Linked DNA regions of Oryctolagus cuniculus. The protein of the gene in region 4 binds, or shares a complex with, the protein of the main gene of each other region. Links are inferred from orthologs where the notes say so. Each region holds a gene or a part of one and is shown on either strand. Other genes may lie near its edges.

Region 1 (3,666 bases), on a different chromosome or scaffold from region 4:
CCGCTCTGCATACAATGTAACTTGCTGTGCTACTCCCATAGAGCTGGGAAAGATTCATCCGCACATTTAAAGGCTGAGCTGAAATAAGAAATAAAGTTAAATGTATCACTGCTTTCTCTAAAGCCAAGAGGTACTTTGGCTGTTCTGTCATTTACCTGGATTGAATCCCTTTTCCATTTCCACGTCTGTTTCATAATCCATTTCCCGTATAAGAACGCCAATGGCCTGGATTGGATTCCGAATTTCTTGCAGTTTACTACAAATATCCTCTAGCACATTTTCTCTACAGAGGCAATCAGGAAACTTCTGTTACTACCAAGAATACTACCAAGAATACCCAATGTCCTGTAAACTAAATGCTCTGTGACACAGGAAAGCCAGCAACGTGATAAAGCAGGAGACACAACTGTTCAGGTATACGAGATACCACACAGCAAAATTTCTTTCAACTTTTCAGAACTGGCAAACAAGATGATTGTGAGGAAACTACTTTTTCTTTTTAGAATCAATAATTAATAGCTGTATCACAGCTTAGGAATCTGCATGTGTTAGAATTTCTGTTTGGGGCTGGTGTTGTGGCATACTGGATAAAGCCACAGCCCATGACATCTAGCTCGTGTCCCGGCTACATCCCACATGGGCACCAGTACAAGTCCCAGCTGCTCCACTGCTGATCCAGCTTCCTGCTAATGGCCTGGGAAAGCAGGAGAAGATGGTCCAAGGCCCCTGTCATCCACATGGGAGACCCAGATGAAGTTCCTGGCTCCTGGCTTTGGCCTGGCCATTATAGCCATCTGGGGAGTGAACCAGAAGATGGAAGATTCTCTCTGTAACTTTGACTTTCAAACAAACAAACAAATCTTAAAAAAAAAAAAAAAAAAAAAAAAAAACCCTTAAACAAATTTCTGGGGGCTGGCGTCGTGGCATAGTGGGTAAAGCCACCACCTGTAGTGCTTGTGTCCCATATGGGTGCTGGTTCGAGTCCTGGCTGCTCCTCTTCCAATCCAGCTCTATACATGGCCTGGGAACACAGTAGAAGATGGCCCAAGTTCTTGGGCCCCTGCACCCACGTGGGAGACCAAGAAGCTCCTGGCTCCTGGCTTCAGATGGGCCCAGCTCCAGTTGTTGAAGCCACCTGAGGAATGAACCAACAGATGGAGACCTCTCTCTCTCTCTGCCTCTCTGTAACTCTGCCTTTTAAATAAATCAATAATTCTTAAAAAAAAGACAAAGATTTATTTAAAAAAATTGTCCAAAAGCTGAAATATCTATTGAGAATCATGACAATTCATTTTATCTTCAAGCCATTAATTTGAACACTCTTTTGCATACAAAAATTCGATTTGGCACTAAAAATTGCTGAATTTCCATTAGGAAATGCACTTTACCCTAAGTTCTCCTTACACATCAACAGTGATCAAATCTTCCAGAATCTGTTCCGCAGCCTTCTCTGGAGACTGTAGGTTGTAGCAACTCATTTCCATCATAACTGACATGTCCATATTTACGGACTCTCCAATCAGCCGAAGACATTTTATAAGACATATGACATCTCGAGCAACATCCACATCTAGGAAGAGAAAAGTTAACATTCTAGTCTCAAATCAGTGATCTAATTAATATTATATTGTTAATTATTAAATGCCCAGACATCTATCTGATGTCTTTGAGATATGGAGGCCTCTATATCTTCCCTTGAAGTATCTACAATGTGGTAAAATGGCCAGTGGTAATCAATGTCCTTTGCATGTACTTGTAAAAGGTGAAAGATTTATACGATCTGAAGAGAAACCAGAGTATATTTTGCATGTACTTGTAATAAAGCACAGGTTCATGTAGGAAAGGGAATAAACATACAAATAACAATCATTACCATCAGATATGGTTGTCTCATCCTCTGTCAACAGGTTCTCATCAGGCAGTAGATACAAATGGTCCACTAGGGAAGAGGGCATAAGAAAAGACAGGTACCCCTGGAAATTGAAATATTCTGGTTACATTTTTTCAGTGAATTTTTAAAGGTATAAAATAATTGTGATGTGAGTTTTATCATGAGGCAACACCAGAGAAACTCCAGTTGATGGACACTGTAAAAAATACATGTGTAGTCATCAGAAAAATGTCAGTCATGAAAGACAAAGAAAGGCTGAAGATAGTTCAAGATTAAGTTAAATAAACAAGACAACTAGATATATCTAGGTCCTCGGATTGGATCTTGGATCACAAAGAAAATTATGGGCACAACTGGAAAAATTATTAACTGTGTAATAATGTATCAATATCAAATTGTTGATCTTTAAATTCTACTGTGGTTATTTAGGATAAACATCCATGCTTTTAGAGACTTGCTGAAGTTTTTAAGGACAAAAGGGCATGATGTCTGGGACCAGCACTGTGGCACAGTGGATTAAGCCATAGCCTATAGCACCAGCACAAGTTCATGTCCTGCTGCTCCATGTCTGATCAGCTTCCTGCTAATGCTTCTGGGAAAGTAGCAGAAGATGGCCCAAGTCCTTGGGCTGCTGTATCCATGCTGAAGACCTGCATTAAGCTTCTGGCTCCTGGCTTCAGCCTGGCCTAGCCCCAGTTGTTGCAGCCATTTGGGGAGTGAACAAGCAGATGAAAGCTCTCTGTCTCTCCTTCTCTCTCTGTATCCTTTCAAATAAATAAATATATCTTAAAAAAAAAAAAAAAGTGCATGATGCTACAAGCTGGGAAGAAAACTCTCAAATGGCCCAGAAAAAAAAACATATTTATACAAAGAAGAATCACAAATGGAAATTAAAAGATGGATCTGGATGAAGGCTTTCTAGGCCGGCACCGCGGCTCACTAGGCTAATCCTCCGCCCTGCGGCGCCGGCACACTGGGTTCTAGTCCCGGTCAGGGCGCCGGATTCTGTCCCAGTTGCCCCTCTTCCAGGCCAGCTCTCTGCTGTGGCCAGGGAGTGCAGTGGAGGATGGCCCAAGTGCTTAGGCCCTGCACTCCATGGGAGACCAGGAGAAGTACCTGGCTCCTGCCATCGGATCAGCGCGGTGCACTGGCCGTAGCGCGCCGGCCGCAGCAGCCATTGGAGGGTGAACCAACGGCAAAAGGAAGACCTTTCTCTCTGTCTCTCTCTCTCACTGTCCAACTCTGCCTGTCAAAAAAAAAAAAAAAATTTTTATGCTATTTTTAATTTTTATCATTTATTCAACAAATAAAATATAATGTTTTATTCTACTTTAATTTTAATTTTTTATTATCTATTAAATAAATAAATTTAAAAATCAAATGTAAAACAAAATAGATCAGGGTGGGCATTTGGTCATAAGTCAAGACACCACTAGTAAAGCCAGTGTTGTGGCACAGTGGGTTAAGATGCCACTTGAGGAATCTCAGTAGCTCTGCTTCTGATCCAATTTCCTGCTAACGAGCCTGGGAAGGCAACAGAAGACGAGCCAAATACTTGGGCCCAGGCCACCCATGTGGGAGACCAGGATGTATTTATTTCCTGGTTCCTAGCTTTGGCCTGGTTTGGACCTGGCTGTTGTGAATATTTGGGTGAATGAACCAGTAGATAGAAGATCAATACATCTTTCACTCTGTTGCTCTCCTGAAAAGATAAATAATTTTTGAAAAAATAAATATAAATAGATCCTAAAAAAAAATACTGTTTGAGAGGGACG
Region 2 (3,666 bases), on a different chromosome or scaffold from region 4:
CCGCAGACAGAGGATCTGTTTTTTCATGCCCTCTTTCCCTCTCTGCCTTTCAAATAAATAAATATTTAACAAAAACAAACAAAAAACAAGGGGCCAGCACTGTGGCACAGCAGGTAAAGCCACCATCATCTGGGTCCCAGTTTGAATCCTGGCTTCTCCACTTCTGATCCAGCTCTCTGCTATGGCCTGGGAAAGCAGTGGAAGATGGCCCAAGTGCTTGGGCCCCTGCACTCGCATGGGAGACCCAGAGGAACTCCTGGCTCTTGGCTTCAGATTGAATTAGCCCAGCTCCGGCCACTGCAGCCATTTGGGGAGTGAACCAACAGATGGAAAACCTCCCCCTCTCTCTGGTTTTGCCTCTCTGGAACTCTCCCTTTCAAATAATAAATAAATCTTAAAAAAAAAAAAAAAAAGGGCAAAACACTACCCCCTCCTTACTTGTCGTCTGGTGCATTTCCTCCATACACGCTCTGATGACTGAACGGTAGTTTTTACTCACACGAACCAGCCTACAAAAATGAAGCAGATAGAAGATGAGCCTGGAACATCTGTGGAGCCAGAAAGTAAGGAAGGGCTCAAAAAAAAGGAATTTACAGATCACAGGAGCCAACCTGAAGGAGCTCCAGATACTGCAGAGCTAGAACAACTTGAGTAACAAAACAAGTAAAATATAACATAAATCATGGTATATATTAAAAAAAAAAAAAGCCCAAGACTCCATACTGATATCAGTTGTTGCAGATCAGATCCACCGACAGATACTAAAATGAGTGGGTGAAAATGTAAGAAGAAATAGGATTTCAGGTGTCAAAGCAGGGCTGGCACTGTGGCATAGCAGGTAAAGCTGTCAGCTGCAGCGCCTGCATCCCATGTGGGCACCAGTTCAATCCCAGCTGCTCCACTTCTGATCCAACTCCCTGCTGATGCTCCTGGGAAAGTAGCAGAGGATGGCCCAAGTATCTGGGCCCTGCACCCATGTGGGAGACCCAGAAGCACCTCCTAGCTCCTGACTTCAGGTCAGCTCAGCTCCAGCTGTTATAGCTTTTTGGGAAGTGAACCAGCAAATTGAAGATCTCTCTCTCTGTCTTTCCTTCTCTAACCCTGCCTTTCCAACAAATAAATAAATATTTAACAAAACGGAGAGGGGAAGGGAAAGGGGGAGGGAAAGGGATAGAAAAGGTGGGGGCGGTGGTTGGTGCTCTGGCACAGCAGGTTAAAGCCCCAGCCTGCCCCACCGGCACCAGTACAAGTCCCAGCTGCTCCACTTCCTATCCAGCTCCCTGCTAATGCACCTGGGAAAGCAGCAGAGGATGGCCCAAATCCTCAGGCACCCGCACCAACACCCATTTAGGGAGCAGTCATTTGGGGAGAGAACCAGCAGGTGGAAGATCTCCCTCTCTCTCTACCTCTTTCCTTCATATAAATAAAAAAAAAATCTTAAAAAAAAAAAAGCAGAGAGTTCCCAGCTAACGGTGGTCTACCCAGCAGAAACAGCAGACAACGCAGTAACCAAGGTAAACACCACCAGTAACCGAATGTCGACACCAGGAGCCTTATGCACAATCGCAACTTCTGCAGTGTCCTTGCTAGTAAGTGCATGGTCTTTGTCCAGTTACGAGAGAACAGCTGACAAACTCAGGCTGAGGGACACCCCATAAAGCAGACAGTGCTCTGCCAAAGTGTAGTGGTCATGGGGAGACTAAGCAAAAGAACCAAGTGCAACCTCATTCAGCTGCAGAAGGAAAAAAAGACATTAGTGCAAAAATCGGGGAAATTCAAGTAAGGTCTTCAGTTAGTCGTCAGTGTTAACTGGTTTTAATAACAGTAAATACAGTTTTCTAAGATACTGATATTAGGGAAGCCAGGTGGGAGACATACACTATTTTTCTAACTCTTCTGTAAGTCTAAAATTAGTTCAAAATATGTCTGGGGCATAGACTGTGCCACAGATGAGACTGCGCCATTTTACTAACATTCCCTCCTTTTGTTTTTTACAAACCAAGAGTTGTATGGGATTACGTTAGCCCCAAAAGTCCAGGAGTAGAGGGACGATGATGTGTCTTTAGAGCTACCTCCTGTTGACACAGGGTAACGAGGTACTCTCTGCTGTCATGGGCGTTGTCTGAAGCCACTGACTCCTGGGTGGGGAGCTGAGTATACCCCTGTAGCAGCACTTGGCTGACCACCTGGTTGGTGAAGGCCTTGGTTCGTTCCATTATCCCCTCCTGTAAATACTCAGAATTTGGAAGGCCAGTGTGTGGATGGGGATCACGAAGCTTTCGGTGGCGTGGAAGGAGTTCTGGGGCTGTGCTTTGTGACTGGCAGAAATCCAGGACCCCAGGGCAGCTCAGAGATCCCCGAAGTGAGAACAGAATCACTGAGGGAGCCTGGATTTGAGTCACGGCACCAATGTAAGCCCACCACAAGACAGATCGAACACCAGGGTAAGGGAAAGGTTTACTGGGGGAAACCCAGTAGATGGGAGGGAAGGGGCAAAGAAGAAAAAAGAGGGAGAAGGAGAGGATAAGAGAGAGCGACAGAGCGAGAAAGATCAAGAGACGGAGAGAGAGAGCTTGGGAGACGGAGAGAGAGAGCGAGATCGGGAGACGGAGAGAGAGAGAGAGAGCTTGGGAGACGGAGTGAAAGAGAGAGATCGGGAGACGGAGAGAGAGAGAGATCGGGAGACGGAGAGAGAGAGATCGGGAGACGGAGAGAGAGAGAGATCGGGAGACGGAGAGAGAGAGAGAGAGATCGGGAGACGGAGAGAGAGAGAGATCGGGAGTAAAGGAGCCCAAAAGTGATTCCTCAAGGACCAAACAGAACTCGCACTGTTTTGCTGATTTCCGAATCCCCCAACCATAGGGCCTCGCTCAGTGACGCTCAGGAGCTAATCTGGGCCAACTTCACTTCTCTGCATAATGAAGTAGAACATACACGTACTACACGTAAAGCTCAGGCAGCCAGCCAGTGAATCCACAGCAAGTGCACACTCCCTCCAGAATGCGCCTGCTGGGCAACGTGCAGGCCACCGCCAGAGCCAGGAGCCGCTTACTTCCCCAGGTGACCGCCCAGGCACCACAGGACAAGGGCACACTCCATCTGGCTGTTCACAACGTGGCTGTGGACTCAGGCACCTATCAGCAGCGACTCACTGAGCTTTTCTGGACTTTCCCGTGAATTCTTCCTCAATTCTTTGGAGGCCCACGAAGATTCCATGGGATTCATTGAAGAGTTTTCTCAAGATCTGAGAGTACACGCCTACATCCTTCCGGATGATATAGATAAAGGGGCAGCACGGCACCATCTCCGATTTTCCTGAAAGTAAACAGAAAAAAAGATTTAACATCTCTCATCATCACCCTGAGAGAATCCACTCTGAAAATCCGAACGGTCTAAATACAAAAGCTTTGGCTTCCTCACCCCTGACTTACAAAAAGTAAAGCAATGCAACGCGGGTGCTGTGGCACAGCAGGATAAGCTACCACTTGTGACACACATCCTGCAAAGTGCTGGTGGCTGGCGAGGGGCCGGCACTGTTGGTGTCGTGGGTTAAGCCATCGCCCACAACACCAGCATCCCATATGGTTGCCAGTTCTAATCCGTTACTCCACTTCTGATCCCACTCCATGCTAATGTGCCGGGGGAAGCAGTGGAAGATGGCCCAAG
Region 3 (3,666 bases), on a different chromosome or scaffold from region 4:
AAAATGAATCTTGATGTGAATGGAAGGGGAGAGGGAGTGGGAAAGGGGAGGGTTGTGGGTGGGAGGGACGGTATGGGGGGGGGAAGCCATTGTAACACATGAGTCGTACTTTGGAAATTTATATTCATTAAATAAAAGATTAAAAAAAAAAAAGTACATGAGATGTATATTTAGATTTTTTCAAAATTTTATTTAGTAACTTAGAAAACTTTAATTCATTAATTTTTGCTTCAGTATGTGTTATTGTGGTTATGGATTAAAGACTGGTAATATAAAAAAATTAAGCTTACTAAATTGTTAGATATGGTTATATTTAGTATATTAACATATACTATCAGAATACACTATTACTGTTGAGCTCTGAAATTACATTTTGTTTAGTTGTTTGAGAGTTATTATCTTGTCTAAAAATGTTAGAGAGACTTCCTTTGTTTAGTTGTTTGGTGTGTTTGTGTGTGTGGCTTACTTAGTATAATAGATTCAATCTTTTTTTTAAGATTTATTTATTTATTTGAAAGGCAGAGTTACAGAGAAGCAGAGGCAGAGAGAGAGAAAGAGAGGTCTTCCATCTGTTGGTTCACTTCTCAACTGGCCACAATGGCCAGAGCTGGGCCGAACCAAAGCAGGAAGCCCAGAGCTTCCTCCAGGTATCCCACGTAGGTTTAGAGGCCCAAGGACTTGGGCCATCTTCTGGTTTTCCAGACCATACCAGAGAGCTGGATCAGAAGTGGAGCAGCCAGGACTTGAACCGGCACCCGTATGGGATGCTGACACTGCAGACAGTGGGTTTACCCACTACGCTACAGCATCAGCCACAGATTCAGTCTTTGTAACTGCTTTTCACGTTTTGGAAATTCAAGATGCTCTTCTAGCAGAAGGTGTTGTGGTGCAATGGGTTAAGCTGCCGCCTGGGACACCTATGTCCCATATTTGAGTAGGGTTTGAGTCCCAGCTCCTCTGCTCCTGATTCAGCTTCCTGCTAATGCTCCTGGGAGGCAGCAGATGATGGCCTGAGTACTCAGGCCCCTGCCACCTATGGGGGAGACCCCAATGGAGTTCCAGGCTCCTGGGTTCCATCTAGTTTAGCTCAGGCTGCTGCAGGCATTTGGAGAGTGAACTAGCTGGTGGAAGATCCATCTCTCTCTGACTCTCCCTCTCGGTTTCTCTGCCTTCCATATAAATAAATAAATCTTAAAAATAAAAAAGAGTTCTTGTAATCATGTGAAATGTTCGTCTCTTGTCTGAGATTGTGCCTATATCAATGATGGCTGTGATTTTGTTAATCTTTCGTTTTTAAATTTGGGAAAGAATTAGTTTTAGCAATAAGTGTAGTCAGCAAACAGCTTTTATTTAGTTTCTTCTAATTGTGTTGATATGTCTCTGTAACTAGGTTACAAATGTGTAGACTTGTGTGCTTAATGTCAGTGGAGCTTAGTACGACTTTTGATAATAGTAGACCGTAAGTAAGGAAAGTATGAGAATAGCCCTGTTTATTTTGCCTTCACGTGATACAGTTTTGCTTGCTCTTATAAGTCAAATTGTTGATAATAAAAAGGTTTATATAATATCAGTTTTTTTTTCTGGCCGGCGCCGCAGCTCACTAGGCTAATCCTCCGCCTTGCGGCGCCAGCACACCGGGTTCTAGTCCCGGTCGGGGCGCCGGATTCTGTCCCGGTTGCCCCTCTTCCAGGCCAGCCCTCTGCTGTGGCCAGGGAGTGCAGTGGAGGATGGCCCAGGTGCTTGGGCCCTGCACCCCATGGGAGACCAGGAGAAGCACCTGGCTCCTGCCATCGGATAGGCGCGGTGCGCCGGCCGCAGCACGCCGGCCGCGGCAGCCATTGGAGGGTGAACCAATGGCAAAGGAAGACCTTTCTCTCTGTCTCTCTCTCTCACTGTCCACTCTGCCTGTCAAAAAAATAAATAAAAATAAAAAAAAAATCAGTGTTTTTTCTAATATCAATTTGGTTTTTCTAATTTCACATTTATTTGGATTTGAGGAAATAACATGACATTTTATTGTCACATTAAATGTTGACATACTCATAGCTTTGATTGTCATCCAATGTTTAGTTGACCTTACAAATGAAAGCCTTTGTGATAATGAAGGCTTAAAAAGTTTCTTTTTAACTGCAGTGACAGACTGGATATTGGAAAGAGATCCACATGAAGAAATCCTGAAGGCATTTAAACTATTTGATGATGATGATTCAGGGAAAATCAGCTTGAGGAATTTGCGACGTGTTGCCAGAGAACTGGGTGAAAACATGAGTGATGAAGAGCTGCGAGCTATGATAGAGGAATTTGATAAGGATGGTGATGGAGAAAGTAAGTTTTGGGTAAAACATGTTTGTAGTGTCATGATGCTGTGCATCTAATACATGTTTCTGAAACTTAAAGACCTTCAAGACCCCTTGCAAGCTATCACTTATTCAGTGTATTTGTTGTTCAACCTGTAATGAGCTGTGTGCATACTCAATTTAGAGTGAAGTGGATTGTAATACCAATGACATGAGAGTCCATACTTCAGGTAGGTACTTTACTATTCTCTGAAGATGAAACATCTCTGAAATTTCAGCTTCTTAGTAAAACTTTGATGCCTCTTTCCTTAACCTGTGTGCATGTCTAAGCTCTTAGGAAGTTGCCTTGATTTTACCCTTCAGATGTTGATAGTTTATTTTTTACTTTGTCCACTGCTGCTGTCCTAGCTCAGAACCTAATTTCTTTTCAAGAATATTATGTTAGCCTTTATTTTGAGTGCCGTGTCCCATGTGCTGATTGCTACATAGTGACATAGACAGATACGGTTCCTGCCTTCCCTTTGTAGTCTCTTGTCTCCTCTCTTCCCATACTCTAGGCCAATAAGCCTCTGATTGCTACTTCTTCAGTCTATTGATTGTATAGACATCAAATCTAAAATACAGATTTGATGATGCCATTCCTGTGTGCTAACACAGAATGATTCCTCGCTGCCTCCAGCCTGAAGTTCAGAACCTTTTGTCATCTGTTCCACGTTAGTAACTAGTTTTATTTCCCACTGTATTCTACTTTAACCCTCCCTTTCCATATGTACATACTTTGACAATACTCTTGAGTATTTAGAAAAGATGCTTTGAAGCTGTGCCTTTTGTCATCTGTGCCTTTTGTCAGGGCTTTTCTTGATCTCAGAATGCACTAATTGCTGCCGTGTGTCTGCTAAAATGTTGCTCTTTGTCCCAGGTACATTTTAAATGCCATATTTTTCTCAAAATCCACCCCTAATGCCTCTGACTGTATGAATTATGAGACTTCCATTGAGGGCCCGTAGTGTATAGAGGAGCAAACTGGAAACTTTAACTTTTGGTTGCAAACCACATTTTGTTTAGAAATACAAACTGCTTTTTTACTTTCCTACTTCTGTGGATTTTAGTAATTCTATGTTTGTGAATTTTTCACTCTGCAGTTTCTAACAGCAATGAACATATTTGTTATATTTATTGAATAATAAACATGATAAGTGTGGAGTTAAAGGCAAACCAGTACTATACAGGAAAGCTGTGGTAATGATATAGAAAGGATTGTGTCCCCATCATCACAATACAGCTTTTTGGAAAAATATATGAAACATTTAAAAAAGACCAACTGGATCATTTTAAAATAATTTTAAAATTTAAATAAGTGATTTAGCAG
Region 4 (3,308 bases):
AATCCATAGAAATGTAATTGTAAGAATGAAAGATAAAGCTACACTCTAATATCATTGAAGGAAGTATTAATTTTCTGCTGTGATGTGAGATTCGATCTTCTCCCCATCAGCAGTCTGTCCTAGTCATTAGGTTGAAACAATTGCTGGCTGGAGAGCAAACATCCACTTTCCGATAAAGTAGTCACATAAACACTTGAGCAAGAAACACGGGGAGGATTAGGTGAATTTTTAGTGCTCATGTTAATTATCCGAGAAAGATGGGCAGATGGTTAATTCTGTAATCATTTCTAAGGAACAAATGCAAATTATTACATTGTCCTTTCATGAGCAGAACAGGAAGAGGGGGGCAAAAGCTAAATTACTGTAGAAGGCATAGCTTGACTTTTTGAGACATTTCTATCACAAACTTTCAGACTGAGTAAACCACTCTAACAGATAATGGACACAGTTAATTATCCACTCTTCCCCATGCAGTAAAAGTGTACCACAGGCCCAAAGGGTGAAAAAATTAGAATTTCCAGACTACTCTTTTAAAGTTTAGCATTCAGGACAATGTATCTGGGGAAAAACCATCACTGTAGAAAGTTGGTGCATTTTAAAAGGACCATGGTTGTTTTTAAAAAAGTATTTATTTTTCACTAGTGAGGATGGATCCAGGCAAAGAGATTTACACAAAAGTGTCCATATATAAAGAAAGAAATAGCAAAATATTTTTGGTCATAATTTAGAAACAAACTAATCCACAAAAAGGAGACAGTTTTCCCCAATTCCTCTTCCACAGAAGAACACAGCAGGGGCTCAGTTCCTGGATATCCTCATGAGGCCACGGATCCGTCTGACAAGAGCCTGGATGAAACTGTAGCGAGACCGAACCTTTGAGTACAGTCCTTCAATGTCTAGAAGTTTCTTCTGTAGTGACTCTCCAAAAGCGTTGTTGGCATCAGCCTGAAGCTAGAGGTAAGACAGATGAAATTTTATTATTAAAGTTACCATCTCAAATATTTATCTTTTCCCATCTTCCAATTGTAAATACCTCTGAAATTTTGTAACGTGGTCTTTCCAACATAAAATATTTGGAACTGTAACATGGAACCAAGTGAACTGACCCGGCTGTTCACATTTTCTGTCCGGATTTCTGGTATGATTCTAGTGCTCTTCTCTCCTTTGCTGTACAAATGTGGGGATTTTTAAATGTGCTTTAAACAGCAACTTGATGCTAATGCTGACATATCGTCAAGCACACAAACACATATCCTAAGGGGCTACACAACAAGTTGGCTAACAGTATGTGCTTTTAAAAAAGAAGAGTAGGTGTGCCGGTGCCGTGGCGCAGCGGGTTAAAGCCCTGGTCTGAGGCGCCGGCATCCCATATGGGCGCCAGCAGAGTTCCAGCAGCTCCACTTCCGATGCTGCTCTCTGCTGTGGCCTGGGAAAGCAGTGGAAGATGGCCCAAGTCCTTGGGCCCCTGCACCCACATGGGAGACCTGGAAGAAGTTCCTGGCTTCAGATTGGTGCAGCTCTAGCCATCTGGGGAGTGAACCAGTGGATGGAAGACCTCTCTCTGTCTCTACTTCTCTCTGTAACTGTCTTTCAAATAAATAAAATAAATCTTTTTTTTTTTTTTTTTTTGACAGGCAGAGTGGACAGTGAGAGAGAGAGACAGAGAGAAAGGTCTTCCTTTGCCGTTGGTTCACCCTCCAATGGCCGCCGCAGCTGGCACGCTGTGGCCGGCGCATCGCGCTGATCCGAAGCCAGGAGCCAGGTGCTTCTCCTGGTCTGCCATGCAGGTACAGGGCCCAAGCACTTGGGCCATCTTCCACTGCACTCCTGGGCCACAGCAGAGAGCTGGACTGGAAGAGGGGCAACCGGGACAAAATCCAGCACCCTGACCGGGACTAGAACCTAATGTGCCGGCGCCGCAAGGCGGAGGATTAGCCTATTGAGCCACGGCGCCAGCCTTAAATAAAATAAATCTTAAAAAAAATAGAAAAAGAATAGGTGGGGAGAAAAGCTTTTATCCTTCACTGTTTAATTTCTAAAACCACACTTGCTTTGGGAGAGGCAGCAGCAGCCAGGCAGCCCTGTTTCACTGAGGCTCTCGGTGCGCCGTGGCCCACCGGCACCCAGCATGCACCCTTCCCACCACCAAGATGCCCAAGAGGAATTGAGGGATGTAAGCCCAAGAAGATAGGTGGGGTGGTCCCCCAAACCTGCTCCTACAAAAGTAGAAATGAAGTTAAAAAAAAAAAAAAAAAAAAAAAGCAGCAGCAAAGTGTATCTTCAGACAGAAAAGTACAAATCAAAGGGAAGAGAAACAAAGTGAAAACAGGCCGCACTGGCTCAAACAAGAAACCAGAGATCTGCCAGCAGGAACAGAGAAACTAAAAGCAAGGAGCGTCTGGCCTGATGAAGCAGCTGTCATACGCCCGTCTCAGCAGTGGTCCTGGTCTCCCTTCTTGAACCATCCAGAGGAATGGTTTCATCAACTTTTTGCAAATCAAGTTTTCAAGTTGCTCTAGAAACATTTTCTAAGAAAGAAGGAATCCAATCTCATCCCATTTTTTCAAGTGTAACTGATTTTTTTAAAGGTGAAATCATCTGCTGGTTGGTTATTTCCAGTCCAACCAGAGAACAGCTGTTTTCTGTACAGGAGGCTCTGGCTGCCATGGTGTCAGCTTAGACGTCCACAGATGTCCACAGACGTCTAACATCTCTCATTACAAAGCATACTAAACGGCACTGTGGAGTCACAGTTGTGCATTTAATCTGTTGTTGTTCAGTACAATTGTTTCCTACAGAAAACCACTCCTTACCACTGTCCTGTCACAACAGGGCATGTTCCTTAACATGTTTTGTTATGATTCAGTTTTCCTAATAACTTGTTAATGTGTTGTGAAAGGCTGAAAATTCGAGTATGTAATTTTTATGATAAACTGTGGCCTGGTGGGACTTATGTAACAGCTTGTCAATATTTGAAGATATTGGTACTTAGTATCTTGTTAAGGAAAATTTGCCTCCAAAGGCAAAGCTGGAAAGTCACTGGAATAACTCTTCGCCGCAAGATGGAGGATTAGCCTAGTGAGCCGCGGCACCGGCCTTGGAATAACTCTTAAAAAGGATCACAATACATGGCCTTTTAGATTTTTGGTACATATGTTAGGAAATGTGCACAAGTGGAAATATCTGTGTATTGATTCTGAACACTACCAGGAAAATCTCGATTATGAAAGAAAAAAACCCATTTGCTTGTTTTCAAGAAATATCAATTGGGTAAGACAGGAGAGGGGGTTTAACCTGAACCATACGTT

The links.
Region 1: NUP205 (region 4) and NUP160 share a complex: the UniProt entries of both Homo sapiens proteins name them as parts of the nuclear pore complex. The link is inferred for Oryctolagus cuniculus from reciprocal best matches to the Homo sapiens genes NUP205 and NUP160.
Region 2: the proteins of NUP205 (region 4) and NUP85 are in contact, whole or in part, in a cryo-EM structure (PDB 7TDZ), measured with the Xenopus laevis proteins. The link is inferred for Oryctolagus cuniculus from reciprocal best matches to the Homo sapiens genes NUP205 and NUP85. Residues at the interface, in XP_041443600.1 of Xenopus laevis: Glu1477, Cys1480, Arg1481, Cys1484, Asp1485, Ser1517, Gly1518, Tyr1519, Leu1520, Lys1521, Val1522, Val1524, Asp1525, Ser1574, Gly1575, Gln1582, Gln1638, Gly1641, Gln1642, Gln1645, Val1648, Leu1690, Asp1691, Ile1692, Gly1693, Leu1694, Asn1695, Asp1696, Gly1697, Ser1698; in XP_041431608.1 of Xenopus laevis: Ala86, Glu87, Glu88, Ala89, Ser90, Gly91, Lys92, Ser93, Arg94, Lys95, Pro156, Pro239, Met240, Gly245, Thr246, Gln247, Thr248, Leu249, Thr250, Glu251, Phe252, Glu253, Leu254, Lys255, Trp256, Gln257, His258, Trp259, Pro315.
Region 3: NUP205 (region 4) and CETN3 share a complex: the UniProt entries of both Homo sapiens proteins name them as parts of the nuclear pore complex. The link is inferred for Oryctolagus cuniculus from reciprocal best matches to the Homo sapiens genes NUP205 and CETN3.

What each region holds. Positions count from the first base shown.
Region 1 is NC_091432.1:18,194,847-18,198,512, reverse strand, and holds part of NUP160 (nuclear pore complex protein Nup160), read right to left. Parts: intron 1,974-3,666; coding exon 1,874-1,973; intron 1,571-1,873; coding exon 1,405-1,570; intron 284-1,404; coding exon 156-283; intron 79-155; coding exon 1-78. UniProt on the Homo sapiens protein: Functions as a component of the nuclear pore complex (NPC). Involved in poly(A)+ RNA transport.
Region 2 is NC_091448.1:5,320,590-5,324,255, forward strand, and holds part of NUP85 (nuclear pore complex protein Nup85), read right to left. Parts: intron 3,316-3,666; coding exon 3,153-3,315; exon of another isoform or gene 3,100-3,152; coding exon of another isoform or gene 3,053-3,099; intron 510-3,052; coding exon 439-509; intron 1-438. UniProt on the Homo sapiens protein: Essential component of the nuclear pore complex (NPC) that seems to be required for NPC assembly and maintenance. As part of the NPC Nup107-160 subcomplex plays a role in RNA export and in tethering NUP96/Nup98 and NUP153 to the nucleus.
Region 3 is NC_091445.1:13,123,364-13,127,029, reverse strand, and holds part of CETN3 (centrin-3), read left to right. Parts: intron 1-2,133; coding exon 2,134-2,325; intron 2,326-3,666. UniProt on the Homo sapiens protein: Plays a fundamental role in microtubule-organizing center structure and function. As a component of the TREX-2 complex, involved in the export of mRNAs to the cytoplasm through the nuclear pores.
Region 4 is NC_091434.1:171,453,172-171,456,479, reverse strand, and holds the end of NUP205 (nuclear pore complex protein Nup205), read right to left. Parts: intron 952-3,308; coding exon 799-951; 3' UTR 611-798; downstream 1-610. UniProt on the Homo sapiens protein: Plays a role in the nuclear pore complex (NPC) assembly and/or maintenance. May anchor NUP62 and other nucleoporins, but not NUP153 and TPR, to the NPC.